Linked DNA regions of Drosophila melanogaster. The protein of the gene in region 2 interacts with the protein of the main gene of each other region in a pairwise test. Each region holds a gene or a part of one and is shown on either strand. Other genes may lie near its edges.

Region 1 (11,833 bases), on a different chromosome or scaffold from region 2:
TTAAAGGAGTATTTGTTCTAAAGTAGTTTTTCTTTCAGTGACGCCCCATGTTGGGGCGATAATCTGCGAAGTCGGTGGTGTGACAGGGGGCAACAAGTAGAAGGAAACGACGACAGCGCGCGGATGACAAGAGGACAAGGCCGAGACAAGCCAAAAACCAAAGCCAAGCCCGAGCCATGGCCTTAGCCAAGCGAAAAAGGTTAAGTGGAAAGCTGAGCCAAGGCTAAGTCGCTCCCCCGGAAAAGTGGGCGACGGGATGGCCGGGTGTAAGCCAGCTAGGGATTGACATAGAATATATTTTGGGATTTGCCACATGGCGCACAGAACCCCCTCAATTACAACTATTTGAAATGGCATACTGAGCGAGCGATCAATTCAAACAGGGCCTCAGTTCGTATGAGTGATTATACCCGTAACTCGTGGAGTCCAATTAGGCAGAAGGATGCGTTTCCGATTATATAAAGTATATATATTCTCGATCAGGATCAATAGCCGAGACGATATGGAAATGTCCGTCTGTCGGTATGAACGTTGAGATCTCAGGAACTATAAAAGCTAGAAGGCTAGAATACGTATTCTAGAGACAAAGACACAGCGCAAAATTGTTGACCCATGTTGCCACGCCTACTCTAGCGCCCTAAACCATCATTTAAATTGTTTATCATTTTATTTCCCAATATCTATCGATATCCCAGAAAAATGATGAAATTTCGCATTCGCATTCACACTAGCTAAGTAACGGATATCTAATAGCCGGAGAACGCGATTGTAGCATTCTCTCTTCTTTTTTTTATGAGCTTCCCTTACCCGATGTAATCTTCTTTGTACCCCTCGAGTGGGTAAATTAATTTTCCATCGATTGCCGAAGCTGCTGGAAATTCTGTTTACTTAATATTTTCCAATTATAGATAGCAGTACATTTCCTATTCAACCAGGATATGCGGTCTTTCGACATAAAATAGGTCCTTTCCCACTCCATGACCTGCCCTTTTATTTTACGGCCAGTCATCAAAATGCAGACGAGGCGTGACGACACGCAAACTCGTTGACGAACTGTTCGGAACTCCAGCTCCAGTCAGCTGGTGGTGAAGAAGTGGTCTCGCTCCCAGGAACTACCGATGCACTTGCTCTAATTGTGGCCGCTGCCACGCCCAGCGCCAAAAATGGGCGGCCGGCCCATCGGGAGGCCGTCGTAATTGGCTTTGTATGCTGGCCAAATCGGAGGAGATTTTCCATTGTGCCACGCCCTGGATTAAATGCCTTTAAAGTAGATCGGAAATCCAGCTGAATTAAATTAAATTGTTGCCTCTGGATCTTGAATGCATATGTACGTCAACAGAAAGTTTTTGAACATATTATTTTCCTTTATGTAAATATGAACTTAACACCAGCGTATTTCAGTTTGGCTCATGATACTGCAGCTTGATAAAGGATACTGCAAGCGAGTTAAAAAGGGATTTTTAATTTTATTCCGCATCTAAATGGTTCATTTCGACGAAATTATTACCTTAGCAACGCCGCAGGAAGAGCCTTCGGAGATGCAGATCCCTGCTGACTACATTCACAGATTTTTTAATTGGGTTCAGGACATTTCCGGTCCGATGGCCAGAGTTGACAACTTTCGCTGCTTTTCGGAAAATGGAAAACTGGCGCTGTGTCATATCTCAAGAGGAAAATGGAAAAGCGGGGGACGCAGTGGAAAAACATTGAAAATTGTTTGCAAATAAAATGCGAGTGAAATCTAGCGCACTCATTTGCAACAAAAGCAAGGCAAACAAATGCTAAACTATCGCACTTCACTGCCACTTCCACTTCAGAGCAAAAAGAGAAAACTGGGGAAATAGCGAGGTGAAAGGAGCTTTCCTTGGTGTTGTCCTTTATGGAGCAGCAGGATATCCTTGCAGGAGTGTCGAGCGGCAAACATCGAAATGCCGAGCGAAAAAATAAAATAAATTGTTCATTTAGCAAACAAGCGAACACACGGCAAAAGGCAGGTGAGTGAGCCAAGGTGGCTGCTGGGTTTATGAGGGAAAAGGAGCAAGGAGGCGGGAGGCTGCCTGGAGCCATGCAGCTCTTTTTTTAGTGCCAGGCAAACGAATGACTTTGGATTGCATAACTCTGGCAGGCAGCCCCCAGCGTTCCGCCTATGTCCCACTGCCAATAATACACAGAGAAAAACATGTCAAAAATGATAAGTAAAGGAGCAGCGCTTGCGAACCTATTTTATTCGTTAAAGATCTGGACTTCCTTACGGACGGACAGACGAACGGACAAGACGAATGAACTATCTATTCAACTATCTATTTGATATTATTCGATTTTAACACATCCACACTTGTTTTTTTTTATCTGTGTACTCCATCGACCGTTGACCATTTCCACTCAGTTTGGGTAATTGCATCGATGGGAATGTCTCAAACTTATTTCAATTTAGCAGAAATTGCACTCGATTCAAGGCTCTTGATATCTGATGAATTGTGTTATAAATTGATATCGACACAAATTCCATCCCAGGAGCAACGCAGCACTCGAGTTGCCATCGGAACATTTAAGCTCATGACTGTACGACGACTGTATGTGGATAAATCTGACCTATTGCTGCTGTATATGTTATTGATATAGATGGTTAAGCTCGAAACTTCCTTTTTTTTCGATGTACTGATTACGCTTGCCCAAATCTCTATATTTTGTACGCAGGTGATTGAGTCGAGCTTTATAAACTAGCCGGATGAGGATCCTTGAGGCAGAATCGCACGAGATTCGCTAATAGCTCTTAGCAGATAATGAATTGTTGAGCACCCATGTGGCCGGGAATCGAGGGCATGGCTCCACATCCCTTAATCCCACCCACATCCCATCATCTACCCGAAACCGCAGAAAATCTCGACACTCGCCAGATGACTTGAGGTTGCCGTGAGGTGACAGCCCAGTGCCAACCGAAGAGTCTGCCATTAATTTATGCACCAGCAACGTGTCATAATCCGGCCACCCCGTCGAAATTGCTCCTGCTCCTGCTCCTACTCCTGCTCTTGCTGTCCCCTCTCCTTTCAGCTGGCTGTTCCGACATCAATTTCACTTTTATGGTTTTTGCACCCGGCCAAGTAACTTTGTGTGTGCCTTGCCAGGGCTGCGTGCTAATTTTGAATACTTTGTGGTAAGAGTTGCGGTTGGGTTTCTCCATGGGCATGGGGTTGGGCGAAGGCTCAAAATATCCGAGTTGCTGTCAAAAAGTTCGCATAACTCACGTCTATTTGCAGGGTGGGGAACGAAACTGGCAGATACAATATGCACGCAGTCCCAGCATTAGATTGTCGGCCTAAATAGAAACGAGAGGATAGGGTAACGACTCATTAGCCGAGTCCTAAGCCGCTTATCACTTTTTACTTTTGTCTATGCAAGCCGGGCAGGAACTCGAACGGTCATGAAGTTTCCTGCCGGTTTTCCGGCTTGTCCATCATCCTGCACCCTCGGACCCCCGCGGCATTTACCACCCTTTCCTACTGGTTTTTAATTCATATTTTATGCCACACTTTTATGCGACCTTCTGGATGCCCGCATCTTTCGAAGCTCCTGCTCCTGCTCCTGCTCCTGCTCCCGCTTCTGTTGCTGCCTGTGGAACCTTCCCTTCCTGCGTCGTTCAGGCAGCAGATGGCATAGTATTTATCTAAGGCAAACGTTTGCAGAGCCACCCGACTCCTTGGCCGCCCTTATATACATACATTGCACAACCAACCGAAGCTCTCTTGGCCAGTCAATCCAATCCTTAGCTGCAATTGCTTAAGTGATAGGACCGCACTGGAGGTGGTGGGCACTGGAGATGTAATTGCTCGAGCAGGTCCGAACAGCTGCTGCCAAATTTGACAGGGCAGGGCAATACTCCGTGCCGTGGAGTCCAGAGATGGGATGTGTGATCCCACAAATGATGGCACATAGTGAGGAAGTTCCGAAACTACATTTTTTACATTTTCCACTTGAAACCTCGTCATGAGTATTCCCTGCCTACGGCACGCCCTACTTGACGCACTATCGAAGCCAGTGTTCACCATTGGAAACTGGATAGTCATCTTTTCTTAGTCTGTACTCTTATGTAAATTTCGTCCACAACTGGTATTCCCTTGCCCGTTTTACACCCTTTCCGGTGCAAGTGTGTTTTTGAGTGTATGATTTCAAGAATTTGCATGGACGCTTTGCCGGTTCCGTTTCATCTTGGTCCACACACATTGCCTGCATAAATAGTCAGTGACCCCCCCTTAAACCCAGTATAGCCCTTCCTCCAATTCAGAGCCCCGATTCGATTCTGCTATTCTGCTATTACTCGATTGAGAATTCGTTGCAACAGCTGTCAGCTGAACTCTGCTGCTAATTGCAGCACAATATTCAGTGAAACGGATATTATATATCACACCCAAGTAAACATGCCCATGGAGATAGTATGCAGATAGAAATACAAAATGTAGACTGTGGACTCGGATACTTCATAGCCTGACAGCTTATTGTACATTTTCTTCTGTAAATTTCCCCAATGTTTTGTGACTTTGTGAAATCTTTTCGCCGAAAAGCGCTGCAATGAAACAGAGTAGTTTATGACGCCACAAACCGTGTGCAGCGCGCTCTGTTTATGAGTGTTCCACATGGAATCACCATCTGCTGGGCCACACGGCAGTGGACAAAAGCTTCCAATTGCTCTGCAAGAGAATGAGTATAATTATCGGGGAATGACGAACTATCGATCGCTCTTTTCGGTACTCTACGATTAGCTTCAGTATTTCACTTTTTCCATCTCAAAACGACAAAGATGTTAGCCTTATGTTTGAAAATGCACTGTTTATCTTACCTACAAGAACTGGCAGCAGATGGTGTCCGAAATAACACTAGGAAATTCTTTCGCAAGTCATTGGCCGGCGGAGTAAATAAAATTTTCGAAAGGCAAGGCGAAGATTTCGGAGGAGCATGGGGCGAGAATGGATACAGAATCATGATACGCCATGAACATTTCCATTTCATGTTCAAGTGCCAATGAAGATTCCAAAACTGCAGAAGCGGCAACAATAACAATAAAAGTGTGCAGCCCCATCTGCACCAAAAGAAGTACATGCTTACCCAAGATCCGAGTACATAGGGATACTCTGGAGCGAGTGCATATAAATAGAATTACAAACTAAAGAGTTTGGAGGTGGGAGTGAGAAGTACTTCAGTGGGACGTGATTCCCAGCGATGGCTGTGCTCTAGCCTACAAAAAATACGATCCAGTGCCAATCATGAGCAACTAATGATTCCTCCATGAATTATTCAAATATTCCAAAGCCCAACAAGTCGGTTGGGATCGAATCTTTTAGTCGACCTCGTGTCCCGAGCGATGCACCATCATCGTTACTACGCAAATGAATTAGAAGCCGAGGCAAACAGTTGGCCAACAACGTCGTTCCGATAATAAACAAAACGTTTCAGCAGAATCTCCACCCGAGAGCCCCATCTCCGCCGATATGTGGGCCGCAGTCCAAGTCCTACGATAACATCCCACGCATTCCCAGTGGAAGCCATAAATCTCGGGTTTCTGCCGGGAGGGGAAATCCAGCACTCTGGTATTAATAGAGTCGAGTAGTGGAGTCCAAGTTGAAGTCTCCGGCAGATCCAAAGTTTGCTCGAGTCATCACAAATAGAACGAATCCCGGGAAGCTCGGGCAGCGAAAATCTGTTTATCGTAAATTTACTGGGTGACACTAGTTGGGCTGCTAAACGGGCGTCGCTCTTAATTGGTGGAACAATGTGTGTCACTTGCACTATAAAAGATAAAGATTTCTTATTAGTATCGATATAAATTAAAGAAATTCTATCCAAATAAAATTGAAGCTGTGCTGTACGACTTTAATGACTATGGTGTAGGCTTTTCCCCTTGCCATTGTAATATTTAGAAGAAGCGAGCTCTCTATGCAATCCTAACTACCCGGCTTGGCCCTTTGTTACCCCCATCAACTGACTGTTGCATCCCTGTGAAAAACTTAGCCAACTCGTAAGTCAAGTGGAAGTGAATAGAAATCGCATTTAGACCAGCCAATTTCAACCCCTGTGATCCCCTGACGAGTTGATCCTGAGCATGAAATCCAAGCCTTTTATCACCCCGCTTACATTATGCCCCTAAAAAATTGTCTCGAAGCGAGGAGACTATTCCATTAGGGATGTACGGGATGCGTTGGATGCACTACAATCAAACTGGGAGTGGGAAAAACAACATGCAATTAAAGGCAATTCAAATGTGCCTCCCATTCATTCGCCCACGCCACTGAAGCAAGGACGAAAAAGAGCAGGACCTGGAAACTTCCCAAGATGGGCAAACTGAGCGGAAAGCAACTGCCTGACTGCCTGAATGAGTGACAGTCTTAATTACAGAGAGATTAGCATTGGCCTGGCCTGGCCAGGAGATGAGGAGTGGAAGAAATCGCCCGAGCGAGCTGGGAGAGGGGCCAGCAGCTGCTGAAGGAGCGGAAGCAGCCACCAGGATGCAGACGTATTCAATGTCACGTTCCGGCGGAGGACGACGACTTAGACGATAAGAGGGCGCAGCCAGGTGAGTGTGGAGTGGCGATGGCACATGGCAGTTGTGCCGGCAGATGCACTGTAGGCAAATACATTTTCAATTACTCAATCATTTATAGCATACTTTCAGAGGCTACACATGGTGATTGGTTTGATGCTATATCGTTTTGCTTGGGGGACCTGAGGTGTTGCATTCCGTGTGCCCCTGTTCAATTGGGAAATGTTTCTCTTTTTTTCCCAGTGTATTTCTGCCTCCGATCTTTCCTCTTCCTTGCACTTCCCCATCTCAGCTTTGTTTTCCCACTTTTTTGTGCAACCTTTTTTCGCTCCTTTGTTACATTTGATTGTCGCAAACGAAGTGGAAAAGCAAATGTTGCACAAACACACGCAGCAAGGGGATAGGGTGGGTGGGGGGGGGGTGAGTCGGTGGGTCCAAGGAAATGCACACTAATTACTCCTTGGCACTGCCAAGTTGGCTGGGGGAGTGGAAGGTCCTTTCTTCTTTTCCGCTCCTCTGCTCAGGCCGCTTTACAATTTTTTGGCTCCGCCGTGCTTTCTTTTCTTTTCTTTGCGTTGCCTGCCTTTCACCTCAGTCTTTGACTCAAGAACACAGCCCCCTTTCTCCCCGTGGTAATTGAAATGGAGAGCCCCCTGGCCCCAAGACGAGGACAATAGCCACGCCCCTTGACGCGCTGAGCTACCATAACTCACGAGGCAATTGGCGCTGCCCTGAGCTTCGATAAAACTTCAATTGGCGCTTGTTTGCAATAAACAGATGAGTTAGCTTGCTTAGTATGCAAATGAATTAATATCAGTTACCTTTTGTAAGAAGACCCTTAATACGTGCGGCACTATCCTATCCTTTCTTTTTTCCACTTTTGGCTAAGGCCAGCGATCAATTCCAAAGAAAGTTTGGCACGGGCATCTAGCCAAGCCTAGTGCACACTTAAAGCAATTGTCCCCGAATATATTTTCCGCTCTCAAAGCTTCAAGTAAAGGTCCTTTGGCTACTTTGTTCAGCATTGGCAAGCGAGACAACAAGGAAAACTTCAGGGAAAAAAGTGCAAAAACATCATACTGTTTATATATCAGCGGACACCTAAAAATTTGTATTTCAAATCATTTTTAGCTCAACCCAGTCTAAGCCAGAATGGAATGCGCACAAGATAATTATCTTTCGAAGTATTCATAATTTCAAAAGCAAACAAAGACAAGGTTAATATGAAAATTATAAATATCCCCCCGTTCTTCGATTCTTACAAAATTACTGCTTTCTTCTAAAATCCTAAAACCATGCTGTACCCCAGACGATATAAAAAAAAGATATATAAAGCGTCACAAATCTAATTTCCACACCCGTCGTAGCTTTTTAAAAGCAACATGAAAAGCTTTTTAAGGGCTGCTAAACGCTCCGCATATGAGAACATGCGTTGGCGCGCATTTCAATTGCACACTAAGTGGCAAAGTGGCAGCTACAGTATTACTCGCTATTCGCCGAAAGCGTGATCTTATGAATGTAGTTTCTATAGATAAGATAATCTAAGATATATATGTACCTTCTTGGGAACACGTAAAATTTTACCGACTGGACCATAAATGGCATGCGTATCCATTTCAAACGCTTGCAAACGTTTCTAAACACAAGATAACGAATAAAGAGCACTTCTTAATTTGAGAAGTCCTTGGACCCTAACCCCTCCGGGAAGCCCACAAAATAGGCTGTGTCTTTGTGTTGGGTAGTTATATTTATTAAAGTGAAATCAAGTGTTACTCCAATAGGTTAAAGAGAGTGTTACAATCTCGCATATGTATGTATATGAGATATATTTACGACAAAAAATGAACCCCGCGAATCAAATCAGCAACAGATCATTTATACACAATTTAAATCGAGTCTCTGCTGGGGTTAAAAATAAAAAAAAATGTAAATGAAAGTAGCAACTAAGTAAAGTTGCAATGCTGCAAATCCAATTCGTTCCCGAATCCCCTAGCTGTTTCAACTTAATGTTGGTCCCGCGAAATGCCGCGCTTTACTTCTCCTCGCACCACTCGTTCTCCTTGCGCACCTGCTCCTCCTCGGCGGGCGAAAAGTCCTTCTTAATGTTGAAGGTCTTGCGTATTTCCTCGGGAGTCTTTCCCTTAATCATGTTTGCAACAGTCTTGCAGGTGAGCTCCAGAAGGCCCTTAATGTCCAGATAGTTCGCTGCCAATATCAGCTCAAACAGTGTGCCCTGGTCGACTTTTAGGAAATCTGCATCCCATGAGATAATGTCGTCTGTGCGCTTCTCCTTGCTCTCATCATCCTCCGTTGGCTGGGGGTCGTCCTTGTGGTAGTGAGCCCAGGTAAGCACCTTGCGAAGAATCGTCGAATTCACATTGGGCAACGGCACAATGGCATTCTCATCGTCCTCCATGCCGCAGTCCTCCAGCATGGTCTTGATAGTGCCGGAGCACTTGGCGATCTGGATATCCGTGTCAAAGATCTCCTCATCCGAAGATTGCAACTTGATGCTGGGCATTTTGGGCTTTCCTGCAGTTAAGTTCAGTATAAAACATTAGGTTCTAGTTGAGAAATGTGTGGCAGTGCAATCAGTGTGTTTTTTAACAGTGTGTGGATCCCAATAGTCATTTCAATGCGTTTGCTTCGCATGCACCAAGTCGTCAATTATTGATAACAGATGTAAGCATATAAGCATGCGTGTAAATGAATATAAGCAACTAGGATGCAAACAATCATTTGTGAATTTTGTATGTTCATATCCCTGCAGTTTGCAGAGTCGCTCTCTTTAAAATTCAAACCGACTAAAATGAGGTCATATCAGATCAAAATTTGTATCGTATTACTCTTGCAGGTTATGCCTGTGTGGAAATCACCGTTGTTTTCGTACAAAGATAACAAACGATTGTGCACTTTCGATGTTTCTTTCGTGATGATTCAACGATGAAATGGTGATGAAGGGATAAGTAGAATCGAAACATAGAGAACGGCACTTTCCAGAAATGCTCACCCACACATCCACTCACCCCCACACAAGCCGACTCTACCACAGATGGATGCGTGCGTATGTTCGTTTTTCTTGTGGTTGCGAAAGCGTTCTTGCTTGCTATTTGTAGGCTTTTTATTTGTTTTCCGACTAACCTTACGATGATGCCTTTAAACGTACTGACACTATTTCCACGCAGGCTCCAACTGAGATATAAATCAACACACCAAATTCACAATACTCACGTAAAAAACGAAACGGCTATAGTGACCAGATGGCGAAACTCTAAAAACACCTCTAAACGTCTTTATCGAAGGCACGAACAACAACTAGCCACAATGAAAGAAAACTGGCGGGAACCAGGTGGACCTGGTAATGGTAACTTGCAGCACAGATTGGTGGCGAAGTCGAAAGCAGAATACGCATTGATAAATCTGAACACTTTCACACCGAATTGCACAGTAAACGGAAATTAATTTCTCTGAAAACAAATTACACCGATACTTTCAAATGGCGAATAGAGAATGGTGAGCGTCTCCGCTAACTGCGGTGGCAGTTTTAATCGTAGCAATCGATGGCATTCAATTATCGATACATATCGCACTGACTTCAGTGGTCGAAGCATCAACGTCTTTTTACATCACTAATCCGAGTATCGCGGAAAAAAAGCAGCCGCATTTTGTAAACTAAGTCCGAATTAGAGCTGATACAAGTCCCGACTTATTCGTCAAGAGGAGCGGCGGTAGCAAATAGCAACAGCGACACTTGGTGCAAAGAACGCAGAGGAGAAAGAAGTGAAAAAAGCATACATACATACGCACGTACACACGTCTCGCTAGTAGAGGGAATATATGTATATGCATACGGCTGGGTTTACGTGTGCTTGTGTGTGCTACAGCCGCTTCTAGGCGTGAAAGAGCGAGGGATACATTCTCTTCCCATACTCGCGACTTTTGGAGCGTCTCGCGAGCGAAAGAGAAAGCACGAGCCATGGACGGCGGTTGGAAGTTTTTGTGGAACAAAGGCGTCAAGAACTAAAATGATTTGGGACTGCAAGCGCGATTTATTTTGGGTACGCAGCCAAAGCCAAGCCATCCAAAACGGAGTCCAGCTCCAATCCAGTGTGTCGCCGTTTGTATATGTGAGTCTCGACGAAAAGCCGTGGAAAGAGACGGACACACGCACAGAGAAGCAGCAGACAAAGCATCGTTTTGCGAGATTGAGCGAGAGGCACAATATCGCCTTAGTTAATAAATTCATTTAAGGTAAATGCAGACAACAAATCGAAAAAGTGCAAAAAAAAAATCGGAACAGCATGAAGTGCATAAACACAGCAGACTGTGCGTGCATGTGTGTGTGAGTGTGTGTAACAGGCGCCGCCATTTTTCGTTACCATGCAACCAGCCAGCGTCTAGGGTTGGCAACCGCTTCGAAATGCTGTTAACAACAAAAAAAATTGGCGAACTCAAATTACAAAGCTACATCCACCCAGCGAAATTTATTGTAAACACCCGTTTTTCGGTTACCCCGCACACAAGTGTACTTAATTTGCAAGCCTTTGCGCACTTGGCAACCCTTCATCTTCCATTCTCACTGCGCATATGCCTCCCTCTCTCTCTCACCTGCGTTATGTGGTATGCGTTTGTAAACAGCTGAGAGAGCAATTTGCAAACGACATTCGTTTCCATTCAGAACAAATCGACCAACAAACAAATATTCAATTCCAGCGATGTTTCCCAGCACCACCCACTTGTGTTTATGATAGTTTATGCCCAGAAAGGTATTTCAGTTGTTGCACAGACTCAAGAAAATACAAGATTTGCAATTACTGTCTGCTGCGCATGCAAATCGATAAGACATTTTTGTTATGCTCGCCTTTTGTTCACCAGCATATAAATATATACGCGTACCCATTCATTTTAAATATTTTCGGCAGTAAGTGTGTGTATTCCAGGATTACCGAAGTGCCTTTTGTTTTTTGTGGATCAATACTTTTTTTTACATGTGCTTTCAAGTTAATTGATTTTTGTTAAACGTGTGTGTGCATGGGCTAAAAGGGCTTGGAATAAGTGCGAGCGAGAGGGATGGCTGTCGACGACATCAGTTACAAGCCCCCTCTTTCTCGGTCTCTCTCTCTCTCTTTCAAACGCGAAGCCGTAGGAATAAAAACTAAATTAGGGCCATTTTCAACGGAGCGAATATATTGGCAAAATGCCGGAACATATGGTTTGCGGATTGAGGATTATTGCAAGTCATCCAATCCTGTGAGAGAGTGTGTATGTATGGGTGCAGGACGTTTGCCTTTGTCCTAGTCT
Region 2 (12,757 bases):
TCACCACAAATCGGGAGTTAAATTGCAGGCAGGTGACCGCAGAATGATGCTTATTTGGACCTAAAGGGGATTTAAGGAGTACCAGATTAGTAGTGGATCTTTTACAGCATGTTAGTGAAAAGTAAACACGGAGGATTCAAACTTACCCGACAGCGTTTGCAGACATTGTCCGGTTGTGATGTCCCACACCTTGACTGTCGAGTCGGCGTTGCCCGAGACAAGAATGTTTTGACGCAGTTCCATGCCAGAGGTCAAACTCTGATGACCCATCAGGGTGTGCTTGCAATTGCCCGTCTCCACGTCCCACACGCGAATAGAGGTGTCCAATGAACCCGATACCACATGCAGGCCATCAAACTGTGTGAAATTTAGAATGGTTTACGGCAAAGTCCGACAAAGAAGTGTTGACTATCTTACCTGCAGCGAGTAGACGCGATTTGTGTGGCCCTGCAGTGTGTGCAGGCACTCCTGGCGCTCCGGATGCCAGATCTTCACCATATAATCATACGCTCCGGACACAATCAGCTTCCCATCGTACTGCACACAACGCACAGCAGCCAAGTGACCAACCAAAACGTGCAGACAGGAGCCTTGTTCAATGTCCCAAACCCTCAAGGTTGCGTCTCGCGAGCCACTGACCACTCTGTTGAGAAATTCGTCAACAATCAGCATTGGTTAGTGGATAGTTGTGTGTGGTTTTAACTTACTTGCTGCCATGCAAATGCATACACCGCACAGTGGACGTATGCCCCTGAAGTGTGTGCACACATGCGCCGCTGTCCATGTCCCAGACTTTGAGCGTGCGATCCGTGCTGCCTGAAATGATGATATTTCCGGACATTTGGGAAGACCAAACACCACCGGTGTGACCAACCAAAGTGCGCAGGCACTACAGTTGTTGAGAAAGATATCTCGTTAGCAGGGAAACATTAAATGATTGCTTGTTCGATTTACTCACCTTTCCGTTCACCGCTGACCATACTTTAAGTGTATTGTCATCGGAGCCGGACACAATGCGATTGCCAGAGAACTGCAGGCACGTAATCACATGATCGTCGTGGCCCTTGAGTACCTTGGGCTTGCGCACAGGTCGCGACCGCCAGTTCATTTCGATGATGTGCTGACGCATGTAGGCGGCCTTCCAGGGCGAAGCAATTGGCGGCATGTTGCCATCGCGTCCCCGTTTCGGGCGATCACTACGCGGCTCGGCGAGGATCTGGGCTTTGCGGCACTTCTCCTTCCACAACAGATTGTCGTCGCACAGGAAGCGCCAGCTGCGGCAGGTCTGCGCTGCCCTCAGCAAGTCTTTGGGCTCCAAGTACGAGAGCACAAAGAGGGCTAGCTCTCTTGGCAGCAGGGAGATGAAGTCCCGCTGGAACTGCGGCTCAATCACCTTCATCATGTGCCGCACCTGAGACGGATCGCAGTGATCGATGAGACGGTCCAGGGCCAGCAATCGCTCGACATGGGACCATCGTTGGAATTGTGCCAACCAGTGCTGCAGCTCTGGTGGCGGATTGTCACGAGACGGCACGGAACGTGGGGTGCGACGACCCAAAGCCGATCCCGGCGTGGAGCTAGTCAGATGCGATGAGGGCGTCACCGATAGCACTGCCGTGGGTCCCAAATGTTGCGAGGAGCGCGGCGTAGATGCAAAATCATAGGCAATCCGCTTGCGGCAATTATCGCTCACACCTGAACCCGGTCCGCCCACTTCGCCGCTGGAAGATATAGTCACCGAGTAGTCGCCGCCATCCAGCAGACGTCCCTCGTTGAACTTTCGTTTGCGCTGATGAGACATTAGCGAGCTGGGATTGGTCAGCGAGTATTCGGTGAAGCCAGCTGAGGCAGAGGACAGCGACAAGGAAATGGGCTCATCGGGATCCATGGCGTCCATGTCGAAAGTCTCGCTGAGACTGGCATTGCTTCCGCCGTAGCTGCTTCCGTTACCGTTCTGGCATGTGCAAATCTCCTCCAGATCGGAACAGTTGTTCTCCTCATCGCAGTTGGCCCAAGGTTCCTCGGCACTAAAGTCGCCGGGCTCCACCACGCCGCCGTCCCCTCCGCCAGCTCCCTCTTCCACCACCACTTCCAGGTGGACAACATCGCTGGAACCGTTTCGCCGTTGCCGAACAGATGCTGTCGGGTTTGCCCCAACCGACCCCGCTCCACTAGCAGCTGGAGGATTGCTGCGAGTCAGGAAACGCTCCTGGGTTTGGGCGCTGGCATTAACCTGGCGAGCTGCCTTTGTCGTCGATGTAGTGGCATACTGGCAACGGTTGGACGCTCCGGCTCCGGACGAGGTAGAAGCCGATGTCGAGGCCTGAGAGTCACCCAAGCAGGCCGATCCGGTGGAGCAGGCAGCTGTTGGATTGATGGCAGTGGTGCGACTGCAACCACTTTCCTGAGAGGTCTGCGATCCCACCGAGCTATACGAGACGGATGCACTCACATTCTCCTCCTGATCCTGTTGACAGCTTCCCCCGGATGTGGACGAACCAGACGTGGTTGGAGCCAGACTGGGGTAATCATTCGAGTTGGTGTTTGTGTAAACGTCCGTTCGGGCAGCTCCAGTGCAACTGGTCGATGACTCCATGGATTTTGAAGTGGAACTGGAACCACTCCGGTGCTGGCTGCAGCTGGAGGCGCCCAACGAGGATCCCAGATTTAATTTGGCAGTGGACTTGCTTAGCCGGCTATTCGTGTACTTGCGACTGCTCGTTGGAGTCGTGGACAGATCCTTGTAGGTGTACTTGCTGTCCGATGAGACGGTCCGCCCATTGCTGCTGCTGGGCCAGTCGTCACTGTTGGCCGTACCCGATCCATTGGCCGCCTTGCTTCCCCCCGCCATGGACTTGATCAGACTTAGATTCAGTTTGTTCTGGCTCACCATGGAGCTGGTACGCAGGATTATGCCGCCCGTGAGACGCTGCTCCGTCTCAAAGTCGCGACGCTCGATCAGATCCATGGACTCAATGTCTGCCCTCGACAAGGCAGAGCTGGAGGTTGAGCTGGAGTTGGAAGTGGAGGCCTCCTCTGGGGCGGCGGCGTTGGCAGAGGCTGCTGGCGAGGGATTCGAAACGGTGTTGGCCGTGAGGCTCATCTGCTTCAGGCGCACTGACATAAGACGGTCATGTAGTGAGAAGCAAGTAGCCCCATCGTCGCCTTCAGATGGATTGTCGTCCACGGGATTAACCGGCTCAGACTTAATACATCTTCCCAAAGCCAGGTTCTCTGCTTGGTCTTCCTCACCCAGCAAGAACTCATCGCTCAATCTTTTTGGCTTGCCTGTGAGCTCCGACTGGGATCCCGTTGTGACTACCTGACCGGGATGCGGCTGGGCCTCCTCCACGACGGGCGTCTCCAGGAAGATCTTAGATCCATCGGCCGCCATGATGGTGCCGTCGGCTAAAGCCAACTGTGATGTGTTGGGGCAGCTGATGGCGCCCGTTACAATGTCCACTGCGTCCTCGTCCTCGTCTTCAATCAGTTCCTCCTCATCGTCCTCCTCCGGCTCGGGTTCCTCATCATCGTCATCGTCGTTTATAAGGCATACAACCGGAGGATCTTCATTATCCTCATTAAAAAAGCCCTGACGACTGTGTTCCGATGAGGCGGGGTGACCTAAGTCAGGATGACCACCGTTCAAGGTATCCGTGGAGGAGCTGTCGTCGACGGCCACCACTCCCACTGTGGACGCCGCCCCCGCACTGGTGGGCAGTGAGTTGGAAGAGCTAATCTCAAATGTGCTGGACTCGTCGTCCAAAACTACGGCGAAACCATGTTGTGAGTTTGACGACACACACACGTCCTCCACATCCTCCCGCAGCGTTGACATAGATACAAAGGCTTCTCTGCCGGCTCCTACTTCTGCGTCTACTGCTCCTAATCCCGATTCTTCTGATGCTTCTGTTTTTCGGCTGGTTGAGGCCTGACTCTTGACCCACGTGGAGGTGGAGCTGGTGACTGCTGACTGAGTACGCTCCCCTGCACTGGTCACGGATTCACTGCTAGCAGCTGGGCATCCTCTTTCCATAATACTTTACAGGCATTCAAAAGTGGGTAATGCGTTCTCCTGCAAATGTTAAAGATTGGTTATCGAATGGTTGGAAGCTGGTAACACGAGGAAGCACTTATGGAAAAGTGAATAATAGTGTTGAAAATAGACGCTATGAAAATTTCAAACCCAAGGTATGACAAATTTTACACCGCTTACAATGAACGATCCTTTTGTGCCCTGAGAATCCAAGATGATCCGAAATTCCCACGCAACAAGCGCAAACTGATGGTTGCAAAAAAAAATTAAATCCAAGGGAATGAAAAGCAGTGGGAAAAATTTGTTGTAACGACGCTGCCTCTGCCGGCGTCGTTGGAACTCGAAAAAGGAAATCACAAAAGTGCATCGAGGAAGAGGCTAAAACGGCGCGAAGTAGAATGGGCAAAAGAAGACGAAACGGGTATTACAACAAAAACACCACAAACAGACACACACACATACCCTAAAAAGAGAGACAACAGCAAAAGGTATTGTAAAGAGAGTGAAGAGCGAGAAGTAACGGACGTGAGAAGAAGAAGCACCAAAGATACACAGCAGCCGCAGCACCAAACAAGAACAACAATAACAACAACACCACGTACACCTTGCAATTCAAGCCGCTATCTTTTCCCTCCGCTTTTTACTGACTTTCAGAGATGATCAACGCGGGAAAGTCACTGGTGATCGGGAAACAGTCACCGAACTAATAGGAAAAGCCTTCCAAATAATTTTTATACTAAAGAAGTGTATGACCATATTCAAATAGTTTCGACACCCAACTAAAGTTAAAATGTACATTAGTAAATCGTTTTAATAAACTGCGTTGGTTGTTACTAATAGAACTGTGAAATCTATAGTCACGAAACATTTCTTGCTGACTAGAGCTGAGCCAAGCCCAAGCTAAGATTACTTCTGCCAATATGCTGAGTCACAGAGTTGTTGACTTTCCAAAATACATACGTATTAGTCATCCATTTTAAAAAGTTACATTAAAACGTGAGTTTTTTACATGGGCTATATAAAATCGCAAACATTTAGTCGAAACCGAAATTCCAAATAACAAGATATTAGTCATTCTGTAAAACAAATTATTTGTGCAAACTGACTTTCTTTTCCTGGAGAACGGAAAGAAATCATTAATTATTAGGGCTAAGATGTTTGTAAATTGTATGATAGTAGTCCCTATTCTCTAGAAATTCATTGATCCTAGCCAGCTTCCATTCACCGTGACTGAAAAATCGCAGCTGCGCATCTCTGATGTTTGACAGCAGCTTGACTGGCCATCACATCCTACCAGCGCACAGACACACACACGCACCCGAGAGAGTAGAAAAAGGGATCGCCGTAGGCAGAGATTGGAAGATCCAGGGGAGGGGACAAGAAAACCAAGGAGAAGGAGAAGAAGCAAAGATCAGCCATTGCAGCGCAGCATCCGCAGAACAAAAGGGGCGAGATCACAAAGGAATTTTCAGCGCTCCTGCTGTTGCATCACTGCCGAAACAGATCAGATGTGCAGGCATTTCTCCCGAACATTTTCCCATATTCGTATTCATTCTCTTCCCACCCTCCTTCTACTGCTTCTCCTCCTCCTCCTCCTTCCCCACCCCTGGCTCGTGGCCTTTGGCTGTTGACCTCCCGAAAAAACGTAAAATATGTTTTTAGGGTCTCCGCTTTCACACCGCATTTCGATACGCGTTTTTACCTGTGCCACACAGGACACTTTGGTCGAACATCGGGGATGCGCTCGAGAACATTTTCTCTCTGTGGATTTAGCCACGGGTGTGGAGTCGTCATAATCGCTGCATACACACAGACGCACACCAACGCGGATAATGGGCAGAGACCTGTGGTCCCAAATCCCCCAAAAATAGATTACTTTCGTTGCAAATTCAGAGCAGCGATTGCAGCACGCTGAGCGTTCCTTACGGACTCTTTGACCATCCTAACCCCACTTTTCTGCACCTGCAAATGCAGCGGTTGGAACACGGAGGGGATAGCCCCATAATTCGTGGAGCAAACAACAAAAGAAAAATGTGGACATTGTTGTACACACAGGCAGAGTCACGCACACAGACGAACCCACTCGCTCGCTCGCTCGCAGCTAAAGTTTGAGTTCGCGTGGTGCCTTGCACATTGTTTATAAACTTTAAGGGCAGCCAACGTGGAGGGGGCACTAAAAAAACACACCCCACTTTAGCGGGCACAATTTGTTTTCAGGTTTTCAACTGCACATTTAACGCGTGTAAAACTTTTTGCGTTTGGGGCCCACTCTCACACATACAGGCGCAACACAGCACACACACGTTCAATCGAATTTTTCACATACGTTTTAAGGACGTTGCTCCTCGGAGATTGCCTAATTTTTGCGTTTTTCAGATGACTCTGTACCCAGTCTATCTAAATTTCTGGTTTTCAGATACTAGAATATGCGTGCAATTTGCGGATTTGGACAGATTTTGGACCCGAAAAAAAACTAATGCGGATCCAGTGTGACCACCGCTCGACCGTTCAAATATACCATGGGAATTCACGGCTTAAGTTAGGGATGTGATGGTCTCCGCGTGACTCGAGCTTGGTTTTAAAAAATGTGATACTCTGCAAGTTGTTTATATGTATGGATTTCATGAATTATTTATGTGTTGTAATAATAAACGTGTTTCTTACACAATTTAATTGCTCAGCAATTCTACTTTTCTTTTTTGATTGCTTATATTTTATATTATATTTTTGATTGCTTAATTACTAAAATTATTATATGTTTAAAAAACTTGTTTCTATTTTCATAGTTTTTAATTTTTATACTTATATTTTATAACTTATAGAAATTTCTTGAAAACCCTAAAAATGACATGAGTTTGTTATTTATTGCTATGTTATAAAATAATTAGAAACCATTACAGCAAATATCGTTAATTTGTTTACTAGTGATAGAGTGTGGTAACACTAGCATTTCCGTCCACACAATGTTAAGGTCACACTCAGAAGCTGCAAATTTCGAATTTCGACGGTCGCTATGAGTGGAGCTCTCGGAGATGTGGTGTCCGAATACCTGGAGCGCGGCCCAGTGCTCGTGGTGGCGGACCTCCTTAGCCTGATAACGGTCTCGTCCTGCCTGGTGATCAAGGTTCCGCAGATAAACACGATACGGGCGAACGAGTCCTCGAAAGGTGAGCACCGCCCACACAACATCTGCAACCTATCCTCCCACTCATATGATACGGATTTATGAATTAGGCATCAGTGTTTTGGGACTGTGCCTGGAGCTGTTCAGTTATACGGTGATGTTGTCGTACAACTACACCAGTGGCTACGACTTCCTCTCGTACATGGAGTATCCTGTTTTGCTGCTGCAGGAGTACGCCCTGATTTACTACGCCTTCAAGTACCAGGATCTGCTGGGAAGGAGGACGCAAGTGGTGGCCATACTGTATAGTATAGTGGCCACTCTCATATACATGAAGCTCTTTCCCATTATCATCCTTAAGTTCCTGGTGGTGAGTAAGCCTGTATTGATATCACCTAGTGACTGATTAGTCGGGTATTCTTGCCCAGATAACGACTTCGGCGCAGTTCAAACCCGTTCCCCGCTCTCTTTTCCAATTAACTAATTATGTTTCCGGGCAAACGGGTTTGGTTTGATTTGTTATTTGTTTTAGTTTGAAAAGGCGGTGCTCTTAACTGGGCAGCATCTTCGCTCAAGGTCACCGATGTTTGTTGTATAATATTTGAGCGGCTATTAATACTTTCAGTGCTCGGGCAATATATATAAATCTCGTGAAATTCATCTAAATGTTTGATTTCCCGTCAGCCTTTCTGCACTCCCATTGGAGCCACGAGTAAGGTCCTCCAGCTGCTGGCTATTCTGAGGACCAAGGATGCCAGTTCCGTCAGTAGAACCACATGGGCGCTCTCCGCCTTTACAAACATGAGTGAGATCACATCTTGCATTCCATCACTTGATGTCATCAATTAACACATCATATATGTATCCCTTACAGCTCGAATCTACACGGTGTTCTTCCAGTCCCACGATTGGATGTTGCTATCAAACTTCCTGATTTCGACGTTCCTTAGCGCCTCCGTTTTCACCGCCGCTTGCGTCTACAAGAAGAAGGCCAAGGCGGAGTAATTGGCCAGCCTGATTAGAAAAGCTCAACATAGACAAACACTGCGCTGGCTGGAAATGCTTATCAGTCATTGTTTTAATTCTATTTGCTTATCTGTTTAAATTGATATTACAAATTCTTGTTTGAATCGGTTGTTGTTACTCGTTTAACTGTCCGCGTAGAAAGCCACCACAATTGCACCCACAACTGTTAGAATGGATACTGCATAGATTGCTCTACGTTGCCAATCGATCTTGGTCTTGGCCGGTCCAGAACCCACAGTTTTGCGCTCCTTGTGCTTGCGTTTGCCGAACTTGGCCTCGAACTTCTCGAGTTCCAGGCGGTTTCTTTCTTCCTCGTCGCGACGCTTTTGTTCCAGCTGCAGTTGCTCTGCCGCCTGGACGCGAATTTGCTCCGCCTTGCAGTTCGAGTCGCAATCCAAGAATGTCTGACCAGCACGGTGTTTGTCACAGGCAATCTCCTGCTTGAGTCGCTTGCAGGCGCAGAAAATGCGAACCTTCTTGCGGCACAACTCGGGATTTGGGCACTTGCCTGTGTGGCAGATGGCTGTGCAGCGATGTCCGCAAGGATACTGAAAAAATATATATATCACTGTAAGGCTTGATCGACAATGGTATATTACAGCACTTACATTCTTCAAGCATCGATTACCGCAGCTCCGTAGCTTTTCTCTTCGCTCGATGATCTCCTGGACCGATCCCGTTTCATCATAATACTCGTTGCACTTGTAAACCAACTGGTTGAGTCCACAGTGACACTTGGTCTTAATCACAAAGTTGCAGGGCGCACAGGGCGGTGGATGACATCCTTTGGGACAGGCGTGAATACATCCGGTTGGTCGGGGAACGGTGCAACCCTCCTCGCAGTTGGCACAGCCAGTTTGCGCAGACATATCCTGGGGAAGCGGTACGAAATGGCAAACCAATGAACACTTGTGATTGCCGCACTTAAGCTGACGTGCACACGATCGCTGACAGGAAGTGGGTTTGGAGTTCCAGCATGGCCAAGTGGCAACCTCATGACCTCCGATACAGGTGACAATGACGCCTTCCTCGCACCGTGGATGTGGTAATGCCTTATACTCATACTGTAAAACAAATTGTAGAGTTTTAATGTTGAGATAGGTGAGTTTTGTGATTATAGTTACCTTTTTGGCCTGTGGCCTAGCCTCTTTGGGTTTATTAACTCTAACTGCCTCGTGGCATCGTGCCTTACAGATGTGCCCACACTTGCTGGTGTCATTGGGTAGACCGCACACTTGGCCACATGGAGGACAGTCACCCTTGTGACAACGATGCTTAATGGCATGGTGACATTTGGGAGTTATGCTGCAAGAAGTGAGATTAAAAGTCGGTCATTATATATTGCGAAAGAAATACGAACCGACAGAGTTCCAAGCAGACAATGCGTGCACTTCTTTCCCTGCCACAAGGAACACTTTTTTTGGTCTTTCCACAGCGGCAGTTAATCTGGGATTCCAGTTTACACGGATAGCAAGGTCCGTTGTGGCACACGGACTGACATTTGTGCTTGTTGCAGCTCAGCTGCTTGCCACAAATCTTTTCGCACGGTGGACACTGGTCCCCACAGCACTTTAAAAAAGGTTATTGGTTAATTCGGCTGTATACATTTAAAATGCTTGCGTGCTCTTATACCTTTCTATTGCATGCATGCTTGCCGCAATCACGCATTTGCTTGCATTTAGTCTCGCATGCAAACTCTTTGGAGCAGGGCAACTCCTTTTCGTGCAGACCACAACGACACTTCTTTTTGGTTCTTATTGGGCACTGTAAGAAACATATTTCATTAGAGAATCGATTTGCTTCCCTGGTGGCTATCTTACGGAAATGCAAGGTCCACGATGACAACGCTGGGTGCAAGTGTGCTGGCCACAGGACAAAAGTTTTTGGCACGTATCGCCACAGGTTTCCTCTGTCTCATTACAGGGTCTTACCTGGGTCTACAGAATTAGGTAATCATAAATGAATATAAACTTGTAAATAAATATATCACATACATTCTTGCCGCATGGGCAACTCCTGACTTGCAAAGGACACTCTCCATCTCCGCAGGGTCCAGCGTGACACACCTTCTCGCAAATGTGCAAACCACAAGCAAATGGAGCTCCACAAACCTGAAAGAATATTAATGTTGTTTTATGCTTCAGCTTCAAAAGGCTTTTCTTACATTCTGACACTTCCATTTCCGATCGGAGCAGTTGACCATCTTCGACTCCCGCTGGCACTCGCAAGGTTGTAAGCTTTTGCTGGTGCATGGAGGACACTTTCCTGGCTGATGACACACCTGATTACATTTGTGCTTGCCGCAGGCTAGAAGTTCCTTGCACTGGAAAATCATTTTTTTAGTATGGTGGTCAGACAAAATTTCTTAAAACGTTAAGACTTACAGTCTGCTGACACGTCCACTGCTTGTCAATGCACCTCACGGACCTAGGACTAGATTTACCACACAGGCACGAGACCTGCGCCTGCTGCGCACAAGGAGGACATGGCCCCGGATGACATAGCAGCTTGCAATCGTGCCCACACTTCGGTTGCAAAAGCTTTCCGCAGTGCTCTCCGCATGAGTGGGGCACAAGGAAGGGCTGGTTCTCGGGGTTCACCTCCTTGCCGCAGAAGCAGTTGTACTGCGTGGGCTTATCGGCCGGTTGGTAGTCCCTGCGGCACTTGGGGCAGCACCAGTGAAGGGATTTCTGTCGCTTGGGCGGCACAAATTCGCCCAGATGATTGTAGTGGCCCTGGCCGTTCTGCTGCTCTGCCGCCTTTACCTTCATCTGCATCATGCTGTCGTTGGCCCACCGTTGGATGCACTTCAAGTGAAAGAAGCAGTAACAGCTCTCGCAAGACCAAATGGCCTCCACCCGCCGAATGCTTCCGATGCAAATGAGACAGGTTGCCGCTCCCGAGTGTAGAGTGTTTTCCAGAAACGTACTGGTGCGTGCCGCTTCCTTTGAGCTTCCTGCGTTGTCCGACGGTTTGTAGTTCTTGTATAGGAGTTCTGAAAAGATAAAGCACAAAATTTGATGGTTTTCAAATGACACGTCACAAGCATCGGTCGATTTACCCAAAATGTGATTCTCATCCAGTTCGCCTTCATCCTCGGAGCTGGAGGCGTAGGTGTCCACCAGTTTTTGGGCGGCAGCCAAATTTTTAGCTTGCGCTTTATTAAACTTTTCCATTTTTAAGCCGGCGTTTTTGTCTATCAACTGGGAATAAATTCCTGGGGTAGAACCAGGGATGGCTCGTTCTCTGATAACAGCAATTAGGGGATCTAGTTCCGAAAGGTACACATTTGTGTGAGCTTTCAGTTTCCAATTGGGAATTTCATTTAATTCAAAAAAAATACATACATACACATTAATACCTAAATTATCAAACATCCTCTCTGCATATTTTATTGCATTTAATAATTTGGACCAACATTTTGAAGTTTACAATTAATAGGTCAGGTATCTAATGTGGCAGCCCTGGTATTCGATGTTAAACATCTGTTCGTGAGTGCGACACCCTGGAACAGCTTTCACATCATTTGCAACAAAATAAAATAGAGAAAATTAAATATATCCAGACATACCGACTACGATCCGATCCAAGATGAGTTTCCTAAATTACGTGTTTGGCCCCAACCTCTACATGGAATACCGCGGTGTGCCGGAGCCGCAGCGCAAGATGTACGAGGCAGGTGCCGTGGAAAAGTTCGGGGAGCAGATTCTATCGACGGTAAGTGCCCTGCGATCCCATGGGGCAGAATCTGGAGCATATGGTAATGTGGAAAATCGACACTCTCCGTTGCAGCTATCGGTTATGTGGTCCGTGGGCTATTATACTTCTCCGCTGCTCGTCACATTCCTATACCGACGCGGCTACCTGGTGACCGATTCCATACCGACGCTGGCCAAGATCACCACCAGCGTGGGCCTCATCGTCATCCTATCGCTGGTGATGCGCGGCCTGGGGCGCAAGCAATCGCGCTCCTACTCCAACATGATTAAGGCCCTCGTCCGAGCAAAGTCCTCCAAGGCACCAGGAGATGCCAACAGCGAGCTGCGTCGCTTCGACATCGAGTTCAACGCTTGGCCGGTGGACTTTGATGTGAAAGCTCTAACCGGGTGAGTGGGCTACGCCTTTGAAGTGTGCCAGAATAACATCTTCGTTTTCAGTGATACCAAAAAGCCGGTGGTTACGGCTAGAAGGCGGGAGCCCATCCAGCTGGCGACACTGCCCTGTGAGGCCATCGCCTACCTGGCCATAAACACCTTTGGGCTCTCCATGATCTATCCGGGTTCGGTCAAACTACTCCAGAAACTTATGAGTAAGAAAGATATACATATGTGAAGCTGTCTGAAATGTTGTTAAATTGCAATCCGATAAGCCCATAAGATAGACTTCTACATATACTGAACCTAAAATATTTTGCAGGACCCATGCTGATCTCCGGACGCGCCAAGCTCATCGAGGATGACAACGGCATCCGCTACAAGGTTAAGACCATTGACTCGAACGAAATCGATACGTTGTTCATTGACAATCGCCCAAACAACGTGGGAAATGGCAAGACTCTAGTCATTTGCTCC

What was found.
Region 1: the proteins of ago (region 2) and SkpA interact in a two-hybrid assay, tested with the Drosophila melanogaster proteins (2 studies listed by BioGRID).

What each region holds. Positions count from the first base shown.
Region 1 is NC_004354.4:654,330-666,162, reverse strand, and holds SkpA (SKP1-related A), read right to left. Parts: upstream 10,050-11,833; 5' UTR 9,379-10,049; exon of another isoform or gene 9,065-9,378; 5' UTR 9,054-9,064; coding exon 8,565-9,053; 3' UTR 8,264-8,564; downstream 1-8,263.
Region 2 is NT_037436.4:4,247,766-4,260,522, forward strand, and holds the start of ago (archipelago), read right to left. Parts: upstream 6,542-12,757; 5' UTR 6,363-6,541; intron 6,288-6,362; exon of another isoform or gene 6,224-6,287; intron 5,313-6,223; exon of another isoform or gene 5,262-5,312; intron 4,287-5,261; exon of another isoform or gene 4,217-4,286; intron 4,076-4,216; 5' UTR 4,037-4,075; coding exon 959-4,036; intron 890-958; coding exon 708-889; intron 644-707; coding exon 418-643; intron 358-417; coding exon 147-357; intron 61-146; coding exon 1-60. Other genes in the region: CG1265 (uncharacterized protein), read left to right, coding at 7,050-7,203, 7,271-7,530, 7,845-7,965, 8,035-8,165; CG15011 (uncharacterized protein), read right to left, coding at 8,309-8,734, 8,795-9,250, 9,311-9,491, 9,547-9,755, 9,819-9,950, 10,007-10,123, 10,181-10,297, 10,351-10,509 and 2 more; CG1309 (uncharacterized protein), read left to right, coding at 11,778-11,903, 11,979-12,292, 12,344-12,495, 12,603-12,757. UniProt on the Drosophila melanogaster protein: Substrate recognition component of a SCF (SKP1-CUL1-F-box protein) E3 ubiquitin-protein ligase complex which mediates the ubiquitination and subsequent proteasomal degradation of target proteins. Probably recognizes and binds to phosphorylated target proteins.